3 linked regions of the Anolis sagrei genome follow. The protein of the gene in region 1 purifies or fractionates together with the protein of each later gene. This does not show direct contact. Links are inferred from orthologs where the notes say so. Each region holds a gene or a part of one and is shown in the gene's direction. Other genes may lie near its edges.

What was found.
Region 2: the proteins of ARHGAP12 (region 1) and ASAP1 purify together in Homo sapiens (co-immunoprecipitation; 3 studies listed by BioGRID and IntAct, with this or other methods). This does not show direct contact. The link is inferred for Anolis sagrei from reciprocal best matches to the Homo sapiens genes ARHGAP12 and ASAP1.
Region 3: the proteins of ARHGAP12 (region 1) and TJP2 purify together in Homo sapiens (co-immunoprecipitation; 3 studies listed by BioGRID and IntAct, with this or other methods). This does not show direct contact. The link is inferred for Anolis sagrei from reciprocal best matches to the Homo sapiens genes ARHGAP12 and TJP2.

Annotation. Positions count from the first base shown.
Region 1 is NC_090026.1:112,231,414-112,239,342, reverse strand, and holds the start of ARHGAP12 (rho GTPase-activating protein 12), read left to right. Parts: upstream 1-4,869; 5' UTR 4,870-4,953; intron 4,954-7,929. UniProt on the Homo sapiens protein: GTPase activator for the Rho-type GTPases by converting them to an inactive GDP-bound state.
Region 2 is NC_090024.1:16,990,364-16,997,825, forward strand, and holds the start of ASAP1 (arf-GAP with SH3 domain, ANK repeat and PH domain-containing protein 1), read left to right. Parts: upstream 1-4,425; 5' UTR 4,426-4,959; intron 4,960-7,462. UniProt on the Homo sapiens protein: Possesses phosphatidylinositol 4,5-bisphosphate-dependent GTPase-activating protein activity for ARF1 (ADP ribosylation factor 1) and ARF5 and a lesser activity towards ARF6.
Region 3 is NC_090022.1:221,775,748-221,782,745, forward strand, and holds the start of TJP2 (tight junction protein ZO-2), read left to right. Parts: upstream 1-3,897; 5' UTR 3,898-3,976; coding exon 3,977-4,146; intron 4,147-6,998. UniProt on the Homo sapiens protein: Plays a role in tight junctions and adherens junctions. Acts as a positive regulator of RANKL-induced osteoclast differentiation, potentially via mediating downstream transcriptional activity.

The DNA of each region.
Region 1 (7,929 bases):
AAAAGGAAGAAGGGCTGACAAAGGACAAGAAGGAGGGATGGTATTCTTGAAGTCACTGACTTGACATTGAATGAGCTGGGGGTGGCAACGGCCAACAGGGAGCTCTGGCGTGGGCTGGTCCATGAGGTCACAAAGAGTCAGAAGCGACTGACTGAATGAATAAACAACAACAGTATGGAATACATCGCACCACGTTAAAATGGTGAATGTGGCTCTTAATGAGACATGCTGCGTTATCACACTATGTTTACATCCCACACTACTGGAGAAATTATACTGTTTAGCTGGCATTGCACCACCTGACATCAATCAGGAAGTAGCAGCCAATAATGAAAGGACGAAGGTAGTGACATCTCTGGTCCATCCTCTGTTCAGATATCAGCGAAGATGCCGACAGCTGAAATCAAGAAACAGCTTCCTAAGATCGAAAGAGATACTCACAGGAACACCTCAGCAAGCTAGAGTCCAAAAGTAGCAGGTTAAAACCCTGCACCTTAATCAGTGGTTGAGATCAGTGAGAAACTCCCTCCTGGGCACACAGAAGATTGGGCGACCTGGAAGGCACTGAACAGACTGCTCTCTAGTATCACGAGGTACAGAGCCAATCTTAAGAAATGGCGCTACAAAGTGGAGCCCACGATATGTGAGCGTGGAGAAGAGCAAACCACAGACCACTTACCATAATGCATCTTAAGCCCTGCCACATGCACAATGGAGGACCTTCTAGCAGCAACACCAGAGGCACTCCAAGTGGCCAGCTACTGGTCAAAGGACATTTAATCAACTACCAAGCTTGCAAACTTTGCGTTTTGTTTGTTTGTTTGTTAAAAAATGCAATGCAACTGTTTGGTCTGCCCCTGACACGATAAATAAATAAAATGCTAAGGAATGGTAAGACATGTAGTTTCACAAGGTCCTTAGCCTTCTCTGCCAAAGAGTGGTGGATGCCTCACCAAACTAAACTCCCATTATTTCCTAGTATTGAATAGTGGTGTCAAACTGCATTGATTCTACAGTGTAGATCAGTGTTTCTCAACCTTCCTAATGCCTCGACCCCTTAATACAGTTCCTCATGTTGTGGTGACCCCCAACCATAAAATTATTTGCGTTGCTACTTCATAACTGTCATTTTGCTAATGTTATGAATCGTCATGTAAATATCTGATATGCAGGATGTATTTACATTCACTGGACCAAATCTGGCACAAATACCTGATACGCCTAAATTTGAATACTAGTGGAGTTGGGGGAAAATAGACCTTGACACTTGGGAGTTGTAGTTGATGGGATTTATCATTCACCTACATTCAAAAGCATTCTGAACCTCACCAATGATAGAACTGAGCCAAACATCCCACACAGAACCCCCCATGACCAACAGAAAATACTGTATTTTTTGATGGTCTTTGGTGACCCCTGTGACACTGGTGTAGATGAATCTGTGCCATCATTTATATACAGTAGATCATACTATTATATAGATAAGAGTCAATCTTCTGTTCCTAATGAGGATATGCTCCAAATTAGATAGCTAGGAAGTATAAGAGGAAGCTGATTTATATCAGATTTATATCAGACATTCCATATGTCGGAGGAGGAGAAGGTGAAGGAGAAAGCTCTCCAAGGTTTCAGACAGGAGCTTTTGCAGTTCAGCCAAACCTTTCCAGACCTGGACCTTTTGCAACAAACATCCCAAACGATCATTGAATTTCTATAAAGAGGCATTGAAAGATCAAGGGAAGGCTATGGAGAAATTTATATCTTTTTCTATAGCTTGGATATAGTCCAGAATAAGGACTGATTTAAACTGGCTGCATCAAGCCTCAACGTGTTCAAGATTGTGAGCCAATATAAATCCCCCCTATGAGCCAGTTTGGATTACATCAAGAGGAGATCCTCTTGATCCTTCACATTTGGAGAGGACGTGCGGGGGACAAAAGTTTTGCACAGGAAGGCATCCGGCACATGAATTTCTCACTTGCGGCTTAATGTGGCAAAACACCCCCACACATGCATCAGCTCAGGGAAAATCAGGCAGCGTTCTTCTGACTCACTTGCAAAGGAATTAAATTATACTATTCACTTTATATCAGCACAAAAGAGGCAAATCACAGCACCCTGGATACTGAGAAAATAGTCGTGGTCTATTAAAAAGCCACACACAAGGAGGTTATCCCTTTCAAGTAAAACTTTAGGAACATATTTATCACAACATGGGCTTTGTAGACTGTGAATTGGAACTCGGGGCCCCCCAATTTCACTAATCTACCTTTGAAGTTTGTTTAAAATCAGTGACAGATTGAAGTGTTCTGAAAAGCAAAGTGATGCTAAAGTGAGAGATTCAGTAGGACGTTGCCAGCTATCCCTAGAGCTTTGGGATAATGGTTTCTTATCACACAAAAGGTGTTGATTGTCATATCTACTGTTAGATTCTTGGTATCTGTGAGTTTCCTGAACCAATGGCGCGCATTAATCATGTAATTATTACTGTCTGTATAGTTTGTATGTAATTTTTCTCTGGTCTTGCTTTCTATTCTTTATGCATTTGGTGTCTGTATGTTCTGTACATATGTGTACACACACATATACAAAGACACACATGTGTATATATACACACACGCACACATATATACACATATGTATAGGTAAAGGCTAGTTGTGTTAGACTCTGGGGGATGATGCTCACCTCCATTTCTAAGCTGAAGAGCCGGTGTTGCCCGTAGACACCCCCAAGGTCATGTGGCTGGCATGACTGCATGGAGCACTGTTACCTTCCTGCTGGAGCTCCCCTGAGGCAGGCCGTTCTTCTGTTTCCGCCATCTGCTTCTCTGGCCCTGGAACTCAACAAAAAAGCTCCTGTTTTGTAGCAGGTTTCCTATGAGGCGGGTGAGGTGATAGTCCTTTGTGATGTTATACATTTTTCTCAGGAGGAGGCAGTGGTTCACAGTATCATAAGCTGCTGACAGGTCTATGAAGACAGCTCCTGTGATCTGCTGCCTTTCAAAGCCATCTTCTATGTGCTGAGTCAGGTTCAGCACTTGCGATGTGCAGCTTTTGCCTTTCCTGAAGCCAGCTTGCTGTGGAATCAGACAGGGGTCTATTTTTTCCAGAAGCTCTCTGAAGCTCTAGGTGCTCTTACTGCCTATTACAGGGAAAACCAACTAATCCCTAATCCATCTAAAACACAGACATGTGCCTTTCACCTTAAGAACAGACAAGCATCCCGAGCTCTGAGGATTACCTGGGAAGGAGTCCCACTGGAGAATTGCAGCGCACCCAAATACTTGGGAGTCACTCTGGACCGTGCTCTGACCTACAAAAAGCACTGCCTGAACATCAAGCAAAAAGTGGACGCTAGAAACAATATCATACGCAAGCTGACTCGCACAACCTGGGGATCACAACCAGGCACAGTGAAGACATCTGCCCTTGTGCTATGCTACTCTGCTGCTGAGTACGCATGCCCAGTGTGGAACACATCTCACCACGCTAAAATAGTAGATGTGGCTCTTAATGAGACATGCCACATTATCACGGGGTGTCTGCGCCCTACACCACTGGAGAAACTACACTGCTTAGCCGGTATTGCACCACCTGACATCCGCCAGGAAGTAGCAGCCAATAGTGAAAGGACCAAGGCAGAGACATCTCCAGCTCATTCCTTGTTTGGGTATCAGCCAGCACGTCAACGACTTAAATCAAGAAATAGTTTTCTAAGATCTACAGAGACACTTGCGGGAACACCTCAGCAAGTGAGAGTCCAAAAGTGGCAGGTTCAAACCCAGCACCTCAATCTGTGGGCGATACCAAATCAGAGACTCCCCCTGAGCACACAGAAGACTGGGCGACTTGGAAGGCGCTGAACAGACTGCACTCTGGCACCACGAATTGCAGAGCCAATCTTAAGAAATAGGGCTACAAAGTGGAATCCACGACATGCGAGTGTGGAGAAGAGCAAACCACCGACCACCTGCTGCAATGCACCCTGAGCCCTGCCACATGCAAAATGGAGGACCTTCTTGCGGCAACACCAGAGGCACTCCAAGTGGCCAGATACTGGTCAAAGGACATTTAATCAACTACCAAGTTTGCAAAATTTGTGGGTTTTTTTATCTGCTTGTTTGTTTTGTTCTGTTAGAAATGCAATATAATGGTATGGTTGCTGATGACATGATAAATAAATAAAGCATAATACAATATCAGTATTATATATTACTATATTGTACTATACCATTATATTGTAATATTATTAGCAATATTACATGTAATATAAAATATATAATTATATCATATTATTATTACATTGAATTGCATTACAATATAATAATTGTATATATAATATATTATACTACATTATGTTATTATATCAGATGCACCTTGAGTGTTTTTTGTTTGTTTGTTTAACCTAACAATACAGGGCTTCTATGACATTACAGTGTGACAGTACATTTGGTTCCGTTTTAATTGCCATGGCAACATCCCAATGGGCTTCTGGGGTGTGTAGTTTCCCCAAGGGCTTTCAATGCCTGTTGCCATGGCCGTTGCTATGACAGAGGAATGTGAATAACCCTCCTCCCCCCCTTTCAGAGGTAGTGGGAGGGCTTAGAAGTATTTTAAGTGTGTGGTTTCCCCAAACTGGTTGTGTGTACTTTGTACTTTTGCAGAGATCCCTTTTTCCCGCCTTCTTACCTTGCTTCTCCCTCGTCACGTGACGTGGACCTCTGCGGCCTCTCACCCGCACGCGTGCGCGCGCCGTGCCCTGAGGCTGACTCTGGGCGAGAGAAGGGGAGGCGTGGCTTCGTGGAGGGGAGGCGTGGCTCCGGGGGGCGTGGCTTTGGGGCTGGGTCGCGAGGAAGGAGGCAGCGAAGGGGGCGTGGCCCGAGGAGAAGGAAGCAAGCGAGCAAGGAAGCAGGCAGGCAGCGCGAGCTGGGCGCAGAAGGAGACGTTTCCTTGGTGAGAGGGGAGAGGGCGGTTGGAAGGAGGGGGGGGGGCCTTGAGGCGAAAAGGCGGTTTCTAGGGGGCCCTTCCTTCCTTCTATTTATTTATCTGGAGAGCTTGGGGAGAGGGAGGGGGCTCTGCCAAGCTACACACATAACCCACACATAGGGAGACCCCCCCCCAAAACACACACACACACAACACTACAGACGTGGAGTCCCTACTCACACATAGTATATACATATACATACACCTATGGATATACAAACAACAGCCACACACAAGCTGTTCAACTCAAGACATAGAGACCCCCCCCCCCCAAGTAACACACATACACAACACTACAGGCATGGAGTCCCTACTCACACATATTAAATACATATACACACACCTATGGATATACAAACAACAGCCACACACAAGCCTATACACAGCTTCAATTCAAGACATAAATAGAGACCCCCTCCCCAAAACACACATACACAACATTACAGACATGGAGTCCCTACTCACACATATTATATACATATGCATACACCTATGGATATACAAACAACAGCCACACACAAGCCCATACACAGCTTCAATGCAAGACATAAATAGAGACACCCCCCAAAACACACATACACAACATTATGGATATACAAACAACAGAGCTTCAACTCAAGACATAAATAGAGACACCCCCCAAAACACACATACACAACACTATGGATATACTAACAACAGCCACACACAAGCCCATACACAGCTTCAACTCTAGACATAAATAGAGATCCCCCCCAAATAACACACATACACAACACTACAGACATGGAATCCTTACTCACACATATTATATACATATACACACACCTATGGATATACAAACAACAGCCACACACAAGCCCATACAAAGCTTCAACTCAAGACATAAATAGAGATCCCCCCCCCCAAATAACACACATACACAACACTACAGACATGGAGTCCCTACTCACACATATTAAATACATATACACACACCTATGGATATACAAATAGCCACACACAAGCCCATACACAGCTTCAACTCAAGACATAAATAGAAACACCCTCAAAAATAACACACATACACAACACTACAGACATGGAGTTCCTACTCACACATATTATATACATACACCTATGGATATACAAACAACAGCCACACACATAGCCCATACACAGCTTCAATTCAAGACATAAATAGAAACACCCTCAAAAATAACACACATACACAACACTACAGACATGGAGTCCCTACTCACACATATTATATACATACACCTATGGATATACAAACAACAGCCATACACATAGCCCATACACAGCTTCAATTCAAGACATAAATAGAGACATCCCCCAAAACACACATACACAACATTATGGATATACAAACAACACAGCTTCAACTCAAGACATAAATAGAGACACCCCCCAAAACACACATACACAACACTATGGATATACTAACAACAGACACACACAAGCCCATACACAGTTTCAACTCAAGACATAAATAGAGACACCCCCCCAAAACACACATACACAACACTATGGATATACTAACAGCCACACACAAGCCCATACACAGCTTCAACTCAAGACATGAATAGAGACCCCCCAAAAAAGAAATAACACACACAACACTACAGACATGGAGTCCCTACTCACACATTATATACCTATACATACACTTATGGATATACAAACAACAGCCACACACAAGCCTATACACAGTTTCAACTCAAGACATAAATAGAGACCCCCCCCCCCAAATAACACACATACACAACACTACAGACATGGAGTCCCTACTCACATATATTATATACATATGCATACCCCTATGGATATACAAATACACACAAGCCCATACACAGCTTCAACTCAAGACATAAATAGAGACACCCCTCAAAAAATAACACACATACACAACACTACAGACATGGAGTCCCTACTCACACATATTATATACATATGCATACACCTATGGATATACAAACAACAGCCACACACAAGCCCATACACAGCTTCAACTCAAGACATAGGGACACCCCCCAAAACACACATACACAACATTACAGACATGGAGTCCCTACTCACACATATTATATACATGTACATACACCTATGGATATACAAATAGCCACACACCAGCCCATACACAGCTTCAACTCAAGACATAAATAGAGACCCCCCCCCCCCAAACCAACAACACACAGAGCCTTAACTCACACACATCTACCCGCATACTGAGCCACTAAACCAAGCATGGGCAAACTTGGGCCCTTCAGGTGTTTTGGACTTCAACTCCCACATTAGGAATTGTGGGAGTTGAAGTCCAAAATACGTGGAAGGCCCAAGTTTGCTCCATGCCTGCTCTACTACACCAAACACACACAGTCCTTACATACTCTACTCATGCACACATGGACCCCCATACACATGACATAACACGACACACAAAACCTTGACTCATACACATCTACCTGCATACTGAGCCCTTAAACCAATCATGGGCAAACTTGGGCTGTCCAGATGTTTTGGACTTCAACTCCCACAATTCCTAATGTTAGGAATTGTCGGAGCTGAAGTCCAAACACCTGGAGGGCCCAAGTCTGCTCATGCCTGCCCTAAACGCACACAGATACCTTACACACACATACACAAAGAGAACAACAACACATAGGCAGCCCCCTACACACACAGAGCCTTTACTTACACACACACATATAGAGCACCCCTGCACACAAACTATGGAGACCCTACACAGAAACATGTCCCCCAACTCTTCTCCAGTCACTTTCATTCGCTGAGAATCTGACAGGTGTCCTTCTCAGCTTTGCTTGCCCCACATGAACAAGCAGTGTAGTACTCCAAGGTTAAGGAAACCACTGCCACACACACTTTTTCCAATTTCATCCTTATCAAGATAAGTTGCCATCTCCATTCTAGCTACAGGTGGAATAACGAAAGGTGCGAGAGGCG
Region 2 (7,462 bases), on another chromosome or scaffold:
GACTCATATTTAAAGATATCTACAATACCGATGATCATCCTGTGAAGTAAACATGATCACACTTTAATCCCTTATTGGCAGAGATTAAAAAGAATGAACGGCTAGAAAACCGGAAATAGACCGGCCAGTTTTCTTTTAGATAGCCAGCCAGATGGCATTGAGAGTTCCACTCTGGTTTTCTTCCTGCACTGCAAACAAAACAACCTTTCCCTTCAAAAGGATGAATATTTGTACCCACTAAATATTCAACATTTTCCCTGCAAAAAGCAGGCGTCTTAATGTGAGAGGATTAGATACATTTTCATTCTGAGTAATTATGTTAACTATCCTGCTGTTTCCTTTGGCTTTTGTCTTTTCCGCTCCTGTTCCTGAACTATTATGCTGCGTGGCTCTGCACAGTTGGACAGCTGCTGCAATCTGGTGACATTGGTTATAGCGTGTGTTGTTTTGAAAAGCGCTGGGGCCCTGAAGCATGTCCTGTACAAACAGGAAAACACACACAACCAGCACCAATAAGAACAACCAGCTAGTGTGTCCTCCCCCAGTATTCCAAGGGCAGGGTGATGCTTGTTTGAAATGCTAAGTACGGGAAAGAAATCTTATGGGTTTTTTTATCTTTCTCATCATTCCTTAATGCTCTCCTACAGCCTCCCTGAATCTGAGATATTGGACTATAGCTCCCAGCATCCCCAGAAAACAATGGAATTTGGGGATGATGCATTCACTCCACATATCTGGATAGGTTTCAGGTTGAGGAATGAGGACATCTTCAATGGCCAACTCTGGACTCGCAAGGGGTCAGATTAGGCCCATGAGACATATATGCCCTCCCACAAATCTAGGTGTGGTAGAAAATAAGTTGGAGAGGATTAATCAGTAGAAGATATAGATAATGATTTTACATGAATAAAAAAGCATAATTTTTAATTGGTCTGGTGACTCAAAACATAGCCCAATGCAAAAATTTGGAAACTGACTTGAAAAGACAACATGCCAAAAAGTAGGGTTTTTTTAAAAAAAATATTTTTTCTCTCAAAATTTAAGAGTGCCTACCTTTGAAGGGTATGGGTGCCATTTCTCTCCTTTGCCTCCATCACCATCCCTCTATGTCAGTCTTGGCACAACTAGAACCAATGCAACATCAATGTTGGTCCAAGCTTTTGTGTAGAAAACAGTGCTGTTTCATGGGTGGAGGCAATGGAAGACAAGGGAACCCAAACCACCACATCTTGGGATGTATGTTTGGGAACTGGAAAAAAATGTCTTTTAGGGTCCTTGGGTCTGAAAAGGGGGAGAATGCTGCAAGGGTCACAGACTAAAACTCGAGAATCCAGTCCTATCTGGAGGCTTTCCTGGCATGACATTGAAATTGAGCTGGAAGAGACTGGTGATCCTAGCATGGCACCAAGAGACGCGGACCTTGCCCCCTCCCAGGCAGCAGCCACAGATCAGGAGGAAGAGACAGAGGCCCTTCATCCTATCATGAGTCATAAATCAGAGCACAGGGGACAAAGGGTCAGGTAGCAGCCCTGCTCCGCTTTAAATATAGGACACTGCGATAATGAGGCCAGCTGGGCCAAATAGCTGCTGACTATAAATTAACTCAACCCAGACCTTCTGTTGCTGCAGACAACAGCTCCAAAGCCTCCATATGACATTGGCTGACATCTCTAGCTTTGTAGATCTCTAACCTTTGGTGTATACTTTTGGACTAATCTCTCTGGCAACTCCCTTCTTAGCTTTCAATTCTGTTCATGATGGCCTCTGACTGCCTGGGGCCACCTCTCTACTTGTAACCCTGTGTAAGCCCTGGAACTGTCATGATTTGCTTCAAACAATTCATTTTGACTGTAGATGTGGTCACACGAGTGCTTTCTAGCCTTAAACAGGAAACCAGGGACAAAATATTGCTCACAAGTTAGTTTTTCCCATCCTTGTTGTGCTTCCTTTCTCTATGATTTGTCAAACTCTGGTTATAGAATTAGGAAGCATATCCAGCTATATTCAGGAGATTTATGGCTGCTTGACTTTGACACATCAGGTGGTGAATTGTTACACAATTCCTGTTCAAACCTTTGCAAGAGGCATTGGATTTTTTCTTCTCTGTTTGCCTTGACATCTGCAAGTAAAGACAATCTCTTTTCAACACCCCCCTATTTTGCTGAGTAATGGCTTTGCATTGGTTGCATCTCCAAGTAGATGACAGGGTTCAATCGAGAAGCTCTCATTAGGACCCATTGGCTTATCCAGGTTTGATTCCACCAAATCAAATTCCACAGGGTGAGCTATGTCAATACAGCTGGTGGGTTCCATCAACATGTACACTCATCCTTCAAACTCCATCAATTGCTTAGGAGGTAAAGTGAAGAATTCAATAATTTCTGATTATATAGCCTCCCGCCCCAAAGCTAACTAGCAAACATTATTCTGTGCATCCAAACTTATATTACTGTTTACACTCACCACGTTGCTTTTGAAATGTAATTTTGTTGTAGACCCATTAGCTAACAAAAACTTGTAGGTAACTATTCAACTGTGTTAAGTTGCTGTGAGTTTTCCAGGCTATATGGCCATGTTCCAGAAGCATTCTCTCCTGATGTTTCACCCACATCTATGGCAGACATCCTCAGAGGTTGTGAGGTCTGTTGGAAACTAGGCAAGTGATGTTTATATATCTGTGGAATGTCCAGGGTGGAGAAAGAACTCTTGATGTAAAGTAACTGCGTTACTTTAACATTTCAGAGGGAATGGAGCTATCCAAGGTGCTGAACCCCATCCTTCCTCTCAATATGTTCACCACCTTGAATATAGCTCACTTACATTTAGATTAAAACCCAAAACAAATTTATTGTCTTACTAACAAGAAAACCACTAACAGCCACAACCAGATTACTCCAAAGACAGTTTTTAGTTTTGTTTTGTTAGGTTTTTTTTTTTTTTGTGCCACTGAAATATAAAGGGCCTCAAGCACCTTTCAGGTCACCTAAAATATGATGCTTGAAACAGCCACCTTGCTCTGCCCAATAGTAGCCCAGCCCTGAGGGTTTCTCAAGGTTGTTTGATGGATGGTAAAAAGTGGATGCTGGCATCGAGAGGATGATCCAGCAAAGCTTGTCTTGCATTCTTACATTCTTGTTGAGGCTGACAAACCACATTCCTACACATTGCACCAAAAGATTAATTGGCAATGTCCCAACTGTTTTTGAAAAAAGAATTGGATGGAGTAAGTTAAAGAACTGCTAATTTGAAAGCTGTTGAAGAGGGTCTAGCTGCAGTTTCTGCATTTGGGAGTGTGGATGGACTCCATGGCCTATGAGGCCCCTTCCAATAAGTACAAATCTATGAGTCTTTCCTATAATCCTATAATTGCTGAAATGCTTTCAAATCTTTGTATTGTCACATTTTCATGATTTCTTTGGTATTTGTGGTCCTAGGGCTGTGAATTGGGGGGGGGGGTGGCGGCACAGGGCAGATGTTCATGTGCGTATTGGAGCATTTCCCCCAGAGAATGAAAAACTATTTAATAGGGCAGCAGTTAGATCAGAAAAATCACAGCATGAAGGGAGAATTGAGACATTGCCCTTCGATTTGCATACAGAGCCCACCTCACAGCTGGATTTCTTAAAAGCTGGATGGACAGTCATGAATGTCTCAACATAAAGTAGAGCTTGAGAGTAGATTAGACTGTATTCCATCAAATAAATATAGTTAATGTGAGGCTGACTGCAGATCTCCTGGTATAATGTCTAGTTTGATTTGTGGCTGCGAAACTCACTAGATGCCTGTGGAACAGTCGCTTCCTACAAACTTAATCAGGTTGCTGGGAGGATAAAAATGAGGCTCACGTTTTCCTCTCTGAATCCTTAGGAAGTGAATATTTAAAGAGAAGAGGGAGGGGGGATAATGCCCATTTTAAAATAGTGTCTGTTTTCTTTCTGGGACTCTTCTTATTCAACAGAGTGGGCCGCAATGATCATCAAATAAATCATCCACCGAGCCTCTGAAATTAATATTTCAGGCTGTGCAAATGAGATGCAAAAGCCTGCAAAGAGAAGCCACGGTGGGAGCGGGAGAATTATTAAATGGAAACAGAGCAAAATGGAATCATTGACTGGGGAGGGGAGGGAGCAAGGTGAACGCAACAGAGCCAATAAATCATCCACTGCTCCTTTTTCCTGCTGCAAATCGGAGCAGCCTTGCAAGCCTGCGTGCCCAATGGAAAATATTAACTACAGAAAAATTGTCACTCTTTTAACCACGACTTTGCCAGGTAGAACTGGGAGAACAATAGAGGAGTGGGAAACCCCTTCCAGATGCTTGGGGGAAGAAATGCTTCCTGACTGGTGTCATGCCTTAGAGACACAGGCGAGCGCATTGTGAAACGTTAGAGAGATCCAGTTACACAAAAGCATGTCTGGTTGAGTTTCACGTCCAGCCCCAGAGCAGGAAAAGGGTTAACCAGAGAGGTTGCATGTTAACAGTGGAGATTATGGAATGTTTATCCAGCGTTCAGATTTCCTGTTTGAGTGTTTGGATTTCCTGAAATCTCTTCTATCAGCCCAAGGGGTGTCCAGTGAGTGGCCTTCTCTTCCCTGCCCCCAACCTAGGAGTTTTTCTGCTCACATGGGTAGACTTTCCTTCCTGCTGCCTTCCTAATTGTATTTGTGTCTCCTCCACACCAGTCAGGACTTTTATGGATGTGAGTCAAAACTTTGAAACTCCAGAAAACATCTGTGGATACCCTGGATTTTGGAATACTTTTTTTCTGTCATTCGAAACAAGCAAGGAAATATAATACAAACGCCCCAGGAATCATCATCAGTGTTGCAGTATGGTTTCTCTCTCTTCCTTTTTTCCAGCTGCCTTGAGGAAGGGAGTTGTAGCATTGGAAACAATGGAATGATGGCCTTCATTTTGGCGGGCATTTCTGGAATGGGAGTTCCAACTGGACAAGTCTTGGTGAGTTATCAAATATTGCTTTGGGGCTGGTTCATCAAAGGAAGATAAAGCTGGCACCAACATTGCCTATACTCCTCAAATAATCTGTTTGTGCTTGCAAATTGGCAGCAATGAAACTGTTTTGCTACACTGATTTATTTGTACATTAACTGCCTGAAATTGCATGCTTTTTATTGTAGGAAACTGGTGTTTCACTCTGCAAATTTGTGCTTGGTCCAATATTTCTGCTTTTAGGAGGAATGGGAGGAATTCCATTAATTTTTCAGAACTGCTTTTGTGAGCATTTTTTTTTAACAGAGCTGGGTTTGCAGAAAAAGCCACATGTACAACCCCATTGCCTCAAGATTGGCAGAAAGCGAGTATTTAAACTGTATGTGTGTTTGCATTCTCCAATTCAACCCACTAGATCATTATGGATGGATGTTATCCGCATTCTTCCAAGGCCTGTTGCGGATCAGCTCCAGTTTAGTTTTAGCACAATGCACATGCCATGTTTCTCTCTGTTGTCTTTTCAAATATTTCTGAGTTAGAGAGAAAACCTGGAGCGAATGCAAGGGGCCAAGAAGGGGTAAGATTCAGCTTTAGACTTTCCTGTTGAGAACTAGACAGCAGGAAAAATGCAAAGGAAAAGACATCATTTTGCTAATCATGCAAACTTTACATCAGACTATTAAAGGGGAGATCTTACATTTTTCATTAAAGTATTATGAAATTAATCAATGAGCAATTTTCACTCACTCAAAAACCAAAAAGAGATTGGTTAAGAGCTGCTCTTAAAATTGGACATCTGCACCAAATGTTAAATATTTTATTCCATGAGGTTTCAAGTTAGGCTGTATGTTTAAAATTATATTTACACTGATTTTTTGGCATTTACATTTTCTGTCATTCACATGCAAAGCTCACAACAGTAAGAAGATAGATCCAACTCAACATTTTCTTCCATTTCCCATCAAGGGGCAATTCCTAACTGCTTTGAGTCTCCTTTAAGGGAGGAAAGTGAGATATTATACTTCTTATTATTATTTGAAACACAACGAGATGAGCCCACAGCAGATACTCTGCTGGCTGTTGAATTGGATCACACATCAGACACTTTCCAAGTGTCTAGGACTGTGTGATGTATCGGTGAATAATATGTGCAACTTCGAGTAGGGTGACCTTTTACATTTGACAGATGGTAATTTTGTCTGAGCTGATTGTTTTTAAGTGCAGGCCAAGGTCTTTAGGCACTGCACCCAGTGTGCCGATCACCACTGGGACCACCTTTACTGGCTTATTATTATTATTATTATTATTATTATTATTATTTTCTGTCTCACTTATGAGATGTGCCATTGCTGAAGTGCATTTAATATGTATCCTCATTCCTTCATTTCATTTTTCTTCTACACAATGGCGTCTATTTCAGCTGACTTTTGCTGGTCAAGACTTAGGCTGAATCTACACTGACCATATAATGCAGTTTCAAGCTGCATTATGTGATCAATATATATAGACCAGGCATGGGCAAGCTTAACTCCCATGGCTAAATGCAATGGAGCCCTGAGAGTTGTAGTTTTACAAGGTCTTTAGCCTTCTCTGCCAAGGGGTGCTGGTGCCTCGCCAAACCTCCACTATTTCATAGTACTGTGGCAGATAATGTAATGTCAAACTGCGTTAATTCTACAGTGTAGATAAGGCATGGGCAAACTTTGTCCCTCCAGGTGTTTTGGACTTCAGTTCCCACAATTCCTAGCCTCAGGCCCTTACCTTTCCCCCCTCAGCCAATTAAGCGAAAAGGAAAGGGCCTGAGGCCAGGAATCGTGAGAAGTGAAGTCCAAAACACCTGGAAGGCCAAAGTTTGCCCATGCCAGATATAGACCATATAGTTCAGTTTAAATGCATTGTACTGCATTATATGGTTTACAGTAACCATATAATGGAGTTCTAGTCTCAGCAAAGTCTGCCAGTAGAATCATTTTGCAGTAGAATCAACTAATTTGTGCTCAGGGAACTTTCAACTATCCCCCCTCCCAAAAAAAGCAAAAACAAAATAGCTCGAATAAACCGGATTGTTTGCTATGGTTTTATATATGCATCCTGGCGGCAAAACAGAGAGGAATGTGGTTTCCAAACTTAAGCTGTTTTCCTTCTTGCAAAATTTGCATCCATGTCAGTCTTGTTGCTAATGTGGAAGCAAGGGCAGTCAGGCTTTTAGGCATGGAAAACTGAAACTCATTTTTGAAATGTGGCCATTGACGCTTGATCCAACACATGGAATTTCACTCATGTGATTAGGTCTACAAACTCTTTAAAATGGATGTTCTTGGTGTGTCAGGATTGCGCTTTGGTCAGTGAGACTCTATGATGCAGTGGGAAATCTTTGATTGGAATCCTTTTCTGCTTAAGCAAATTCTCACAGTAAACCAATTGGACCATTTTGGAGACTGTTCCATTATCTGGTGGAGGCCAAAAGGACATGCTAGACAGAGAAGGATAATCCATTTAATGGGGGGGGGGG
Region 3 (6,998 bases), on another chromosome or scaffold:
TCAACAATGAAATAACGTTGCAATACTGAAAAAAGGAACTCACTTGTAGTTCTTTTTTAATTTTGCCAGTTAGACAGGCGACTAGATTGTGTACAAGAATCATGCTTCAAGTCATAATGAGAGTCTGTGGGGCATATGAAACCTATGGAAACACCCTACTGGTTGGCAAACCCATGGGCTGAATACGGGCACAAGAAAAGTTTTGAACAATATATCTGGGGTTGAAGGAAAGGAACATTGTTGCATATTCTCTCTCTTCTTTCTTAATGATGTTGTGAATAATCCAGTGTGACAAATGTTGTCCAATGTCTTGAGCAGATCACAAAGATTAAAAGAAACCTGCAAATTCTTCACAAGATTAACAGAAAATATGAGTAAATTCCAGAACTAATTGCTTTTGTTTTTGTCATGCACTTCCCTGTCAGCATTTCTCCCCTTCTTATTACCAGCTGATTTTCACCCATTTTGAACACTTTAATTGTACAATATGGGTTTGGGAGTAATTTAGTCTACAACAGGGAAAAGTATTTGTTAATAAATACAAAATATATAGAACACTGATTCTACTACATGGGCCTCTTTGGCATTAAGGATAGCTATAGATGAGGTTCTACAGATGTTTCTGGACTTCATGTCCCCCAATTTCTCATTATTAACTATGCTGTTTATTGCTCGTGAGAATTATGGCCAAACATACTTGGGGAACACAGCTACCCATCTCTGATGTAATTTTTTTCATGCCAGGAGTTACTTGAGAAACTGCAAGTTGCTTCTGATGTGTGAGAAATGGCCATCTGCAAGGACGTTGCCCATGGGACGCCCGGATGTTTTACCATCCTTGTGGGAGGATTCTCTTCTGTCCCTCCATGAGGAGCCAGAGCTGACAGAGGGAGCTCAACCCATTCTCCCTTGATTTGAACTGCTGACCTGCCAGTTATCAGTCCTGCCGGCACAAGGATTTAGCCCATTGCGACACCGGGGGCTCCTCTGTTATAAATAAAAGGTAGAGAAAATGCGGCCCACAAACCCATATCAACTCCCCATCTACCATAGGAAGTGTTACTGAATTAAAATAATAGATCCACAGAATGTTAGGTGCATCTATACTGTAGAATGAATGCAATTTGGTAATACCTTAATAATTATGGCTCAATGTGATGGAATCATGGGAGTTGTAGTTGTACAAGGTCTTTAGTCTTTGCTGCCAAAGAGTAGTAGTGCCTCACCAGAATACAACAGCAGTGAACCATAGCAGTTAAAGTGGTGTCAAACTGCATTCATTCTACAGTGTATATGCATTCAAATAGTTTGAGGGGACCTTATTGGTGCTTGATGTGGAGGGTGTAATGTTTTCCACTCACTACAAGGCTGACTTTAGGCAAAACATCATACAGTACCTCTTGATTAACCCAAGTCATAATGCCTACCATATTGTTTGGTACATGTGGTGCAAAAACATATCTCCCTGCCTCCAACAGAAGATATACATTAATAATTACATATTTTGAGGGCTGTTGTGATATCTTAAATCTGTTTCCTGAGCTGGCATATTCACTTTGCCTAATTGTAGAGCTGACCCTGAGCTTACAGCAAAGCAAATAAATAATATTGTTAGTCCACAAAACGTCTTTATATGTGCTGGTTCTTTTTGTGAGTGGAATAACCAGATATTTTCTTGCCTATTATTGTCCCCTGGTGGTGCAGCAGATTAAACTGCTGAGCTGCTGAACCCGCTGTGTTGACAAATTTTGTTGAGGATGTAGCTGCAACGAAAGGCCAGGAGAGAAATAGGTTTGAGGGGCAGAAAGTAGATAATAGGTCAGGAATTGAGGCTTTTAGAGGAAGGGGGGAGGACGGATCAGACAAACTTTGTCTTGCACAACATAGAAAATAAGTTCACAACTGAGTCTGTTGAACAAACTTTGGACACTCCACACCATTGTCAACATCTGCTGAGGACTAATAACTTGGCTGGGGAAATTTCAGACTCATTATGGAACGGAGGCAAATGGACATCAAAGAGAGCGGTCCAGATCTCTCTATCCCAAATTCTATCTGTAAGCCGGTCAGAAGTGAAAATCAAAACCATTGACTGGCTTTATCCTGGGACCATTCTACATGTCTTCTCATCTCATTGGAAGACAGACTGCTAGCGGAGGAGCTGTTCTCACTTGATAAAACACTGGGCATCATTTTTAGAAAGGTGTTTGTAGATCTATTGATCCGCTCTCTGGTCACCGGGCTTAGGTCACACCCTCTACCTCTGACTTGACCATGGTGGTCCATGCCTTAGTTGCCTCTAGACTGGATTACTGCAATGCACTCTATGTGGGGCTACCCTTGAAGACAGCCCAGAAATTACAACTTGTCCAATGCTTGGCAGCCAAATTAATAACTGGGGCAACTTACAGGGAGTGGTCAACCCACCTGTTTAAGGAGCTTCATTGGCTGCCATTCATTTTCTGGTCTCAATTCAAGGTGCAGGTTCTTACCTATAAAGCCCTAAACGGTTTGGGACCCACCTACCATCGTGACCGTATCTCTCTCCATGAACCAGATCAAGCTCTTCAATCTTCGGGGGATGCCCTCCTTTCACCCTTGCCAGTTTCTTAGGCTTACCTTGAGGGTACAAGGAGAAGAGCCTTCTCCTCTGTGGCTCCCTGACTCTGGAACTCACTGCCCGGTGAGCTTAGGAAAGCCCCTACCTTAGAAACCTTTAAAAAGAATCTCAAGACCTGGCTGTGCCGCTGCGCTTTTGGAGAGTAGCCACACAAGCTTTAGCTATTGCCCCCCTCAACATTTTGACCTAAGAGTACCCCCCCCCCTTGTACAAAGGTATGTTTATTACACTGTGTCTCTATGAGTTCCCCTATGCAAATAATCTGCCCCTTTTATCTCACCCTGAGTTTTTAAACCATTTTTACTGTCATTATGTTGTTTATTGCTTTATGTTTTGTGTATATTGGTTATTGTATTTATATGCTTTGTACTTTATTGTTTTATTGTAATTTGTTGCTTGGGCTTGGCCTCATGTGAGCCGCTCCGAGTCCCCGTTTGGGGAGATGGTGGCAGGATACAAATACAGATTATTATTATTATTATTATTATTGTCAGTTCAAATCTGGGGAGTGGGGTGAGCTCCCTCTGTTAGTCCCAGCTTCTGTCATTCTAGCAGTTCAAAAACATCCAAATGTGAATAGATCAATAGGTACCACTTCTGTGGGAAGGTAACAGCACTCCACGTAGTCATGCTAGCCGCACGACCTTGGAGGTGCCTATGGACAATGCCAGATAGAGATGAGCACCACCTCCCAGTTGGACACAACTAGACTTAATGTTAAAGGAAACAGTTACCTTTTATTATGGCCAAGCAAGAGAGTATCTATTCGTATTTACAAGGTCCACTACAAATGAATGAAATTGTTTCTCTCAATTATGTCCAGATCAATGTAGGTCTCAGTTTTCCTGTCCCTGCAAAGTTTGTGTTTTTCTTTTTTACGTATTGCTTCCTTTTGTTCTCCCTTTATTATTGATTTTTATGATATGATCAGTGCGGCTCCCAAAAATTGAGAAAATAGGATGTTTTGCATTCTGCACTATATAAAGTTTAGCGAACAAATCTTTAGCAGCCCTTTACTTGATTTGAGAGACGAGTCACCTGCTACTCCATTAGTACTTGGAAGATTATAAGCCTTGGAGATTTAGCAAAGGATTAGTAAATTGGAGAGTGTACATTATCAGGCGGGCTTAGACCTTGATTGTCTCTTGACTCATTTTCATTAGTGCTTTATTCAAAGATCGCTGGAATTATGTAACCATGACGTTTCAGGGGAATCTGTCAGGAATCTGTTTGGGGTTTTTTTTATAACTCTTTTCCCAAAAGTTATTTTTATAACTCCCAGCTTGCAATGTGTGTTACACATTTTGAAAAACAGCACTGTAGTTCAGTCAGGTTGCTGGGGCCAGATGCTTTCCAATGCTGCATCCAGAAGCAGGTGGTAGCTTTTTTCAGCGGTGCATTGAAAGAGGCAGGATGAAGTACAAGAAGTACATCACCATTCTTGAAGCTGCAATTGGGATCACCCCTCTCAATAAGAGGGAATTGTTACCTGTGGTTCGACATGCAAATCTTTGGCAGCATCCAGGGTAAGTCACACATTGGGTAAATGAATAATTGTAAAAACAAATATTGACTCTGTGAAACCGTGTGCAAGGGAGCTGTGGGCATTGCCTGCAAATGGGAGAAATGGTTAATTGGGAAGCTGCAGGAACTGCACGTAGTTTTCTTGCTGGTGTGTATTTGTGGTGTTCTTGGCTGGCAAATGGGTGGCTGGGATAAATGGGAGGAATTGTCAGTAATAGCTTTTAAGCCTCTGTGTAAACTTTTTAAAAACAAGGAACTTAGTAGATAAGCCCATGCAGACTTGGAGCAAGGGCAGATCAAGTAGGAATGTAACGGATTGCTCCTTGATTACTTTTTTCTGATGCTCGCACATTTAATGATGGGGCTAGAATCTGGAAAGATGCTCACATTGCTGAATAAAAGTAATTTGAATTGGCTTAGGGTCCTCCCACCCCTTACAAAAAGCCTATTATATTTTTTGCATTACACACATACACAGCAAAAATGCTTCAATGCTCCATTAATGTCTTTACAGCCAGTGTCTCCTTCCCTTCCAGTTTCTGTGATGGAGGTGGGAATACAATGCACATATGTTACACATCGGCAGTCTAGAATCATGTTATTAGGAATGAATGGGAAGTCTGACTGCCATTGAAAAATATTTATGATCACTGAGCAGACGCAGAATGATGCAAATTGTTTAGATCCAACTCAGCAATAGCTGCTGTGGCCTGAGAGCCAGCTTGACCAAAAAGCTTACTTTCTTCATTACAGTATCTTTTCTAAGAAATGCTGCATTTCTGTGTGCTTCAGAATGGCAAGTCACTGTAGCATAAATTAAACAATACAGATACTTGCCTAGTTTCCAACAGACCTCACAACTTCTGAGGATGCCTGCCATAGATAAGGGCAAAAGGTCAGGAGAGAATGCTTCTGGAACATGGCCATATATCCCAGAAAACTCACAGAAACCAAATAAAGATATATATGTACTCATTAAAGCAAATCTTGATGGCCTAGATGATTAAAGGCATGGATTTTTAAAAAGCAATTTACTGCAGAACAAGGATATACTCAAAACTGAAGCAAGGTGTTGTTTCTCTTCTGCGATGCTCAGTTAAAATGAACCCAGGTTGTCTGTATAAGTGTGATGTGAGCTTTTATCTTTATACATTTGAATTCCTATAATCCATCTTGCTTCTTGAGCCTGGGGCAAAGTGGGGTATAAATAAAATAATGATGAATAATAATTTACAGTACTTCTATTGCTTGCATGTACCTATAGCATGTGTTTTTGTTCATGTTCCTTTAGGTCTCATGTCCCCGGAGCCACAAATTTAACAGAGCTTTAGGGGTAATATCTTATCTGGAGAATTATGAGCTGGAAAGCCTATCTCTAAGCATGGATATGTAGTGCTTTGTATCATAGCCCATTATATTAAGTGTCTAAAGTGCTAGGCACTGTACAAATAAAATCAGTTTATTTGAAGGTGGGGGTGGACTGCAAGTTTTCCTCCCATAGTTTGGGATCCCCAAATCACAGTCCGCTCCCCTTTTCTGATTCAGTTGTTAACTGCAGCTTCACCATAGACACTCATGCTGCGGAAGTGTATAATTAGAAAACCTTATCTTTTTTAGTTGCAATTCAAAGCAGTGTGGATTAAGCTCTGGATAGCTTTTGCTGCAGCAATAGCATATACTAGCAGATTGTAGAAAACAAATCTGAAGTGGTCCATATGGCTCACCATCACAGCAGTTGCACTGCAGATACTACGGTACATTAATCTGTGTTTGATTTCTCCGCCAATTGATAAAGTTTTTTGTATTTTCCCAAGAGATTTAAACCCTTAACATTTTCCCAAAGCAACATTTATTTGTCAGCTTAAAAAATATCCAAATATAACTGGTACCATACTGCACAGCATAAATTCTTAATGCTAATGCTAATTCTAACAACAACAACAACAACAACGACTTATTTGTATTCCGCCCTATGTCCCCAAGGGCACTCAGGGTGGATTCCAGCATACACAAACACAAAGGCAAACATTCAATGCATAGAAACATGACAAAGAAACACAGATAAAGGTAAAGGCTTCCCCTCCCAGCTCTGGGGGGGGGGGGGGGGGTGAGTGATGCTCATCTTCATTTCTAAGCCTAGGAGGCATTGTCCATAGATACCTCCTAGGTCATGTGGCTGGCATGACTGCATGGAGCACTGTTTACCTTCCTGCGGAGGTGGTACCTATTGATCTACTCACATTTGCACGTTTTCTAAGTGCTAGGCTAGAAGAAACTGGGTCTAACAATGGGAGGTCGCCCCATCCTGAGGATTCGAACCGCAACCTTCCAGTCAGTAAGTTCAGCAGCTCGGCAGTTTAACCTGTTGCTCCACCGCAGCCTCAATGCTGAAATCATTTTGTAGAATATTAGAAAATATTGACATAGAGATTTCAGTATTTTTGTTGTAAATGTCAAGTAAACAACACTTCATTCATTGTTAGGGAAGAGCAAAGTAAAGTTAATGGAAATAATTTATTGTGTTGTCAGACTCAACTAAAAAAAATGTGATACAAATTCTTAAGCAACAGTTATAATGGTTTAGATGTTTAAAAAATCTGGCTTTATATATATTTTTGTCCATCCATAGGATGGTAGTAATGTTAGAATCAGGCAGGATTTTTGGGAGCAGCAGCTCAGTCTTGGTTTATGTAACTTACATGGTAGGGAATCCAGTGGATAACTTACTCTCCTTTGGATATTGTCTCCAGATTTGGGGGATGAAATTCTTTTGACAAGAATTGATGAAATTGGTGACAATATTATCTGGCAGCTTTCTGATTTCTAGTCTCTTATGATTTCAACATGACTTCTC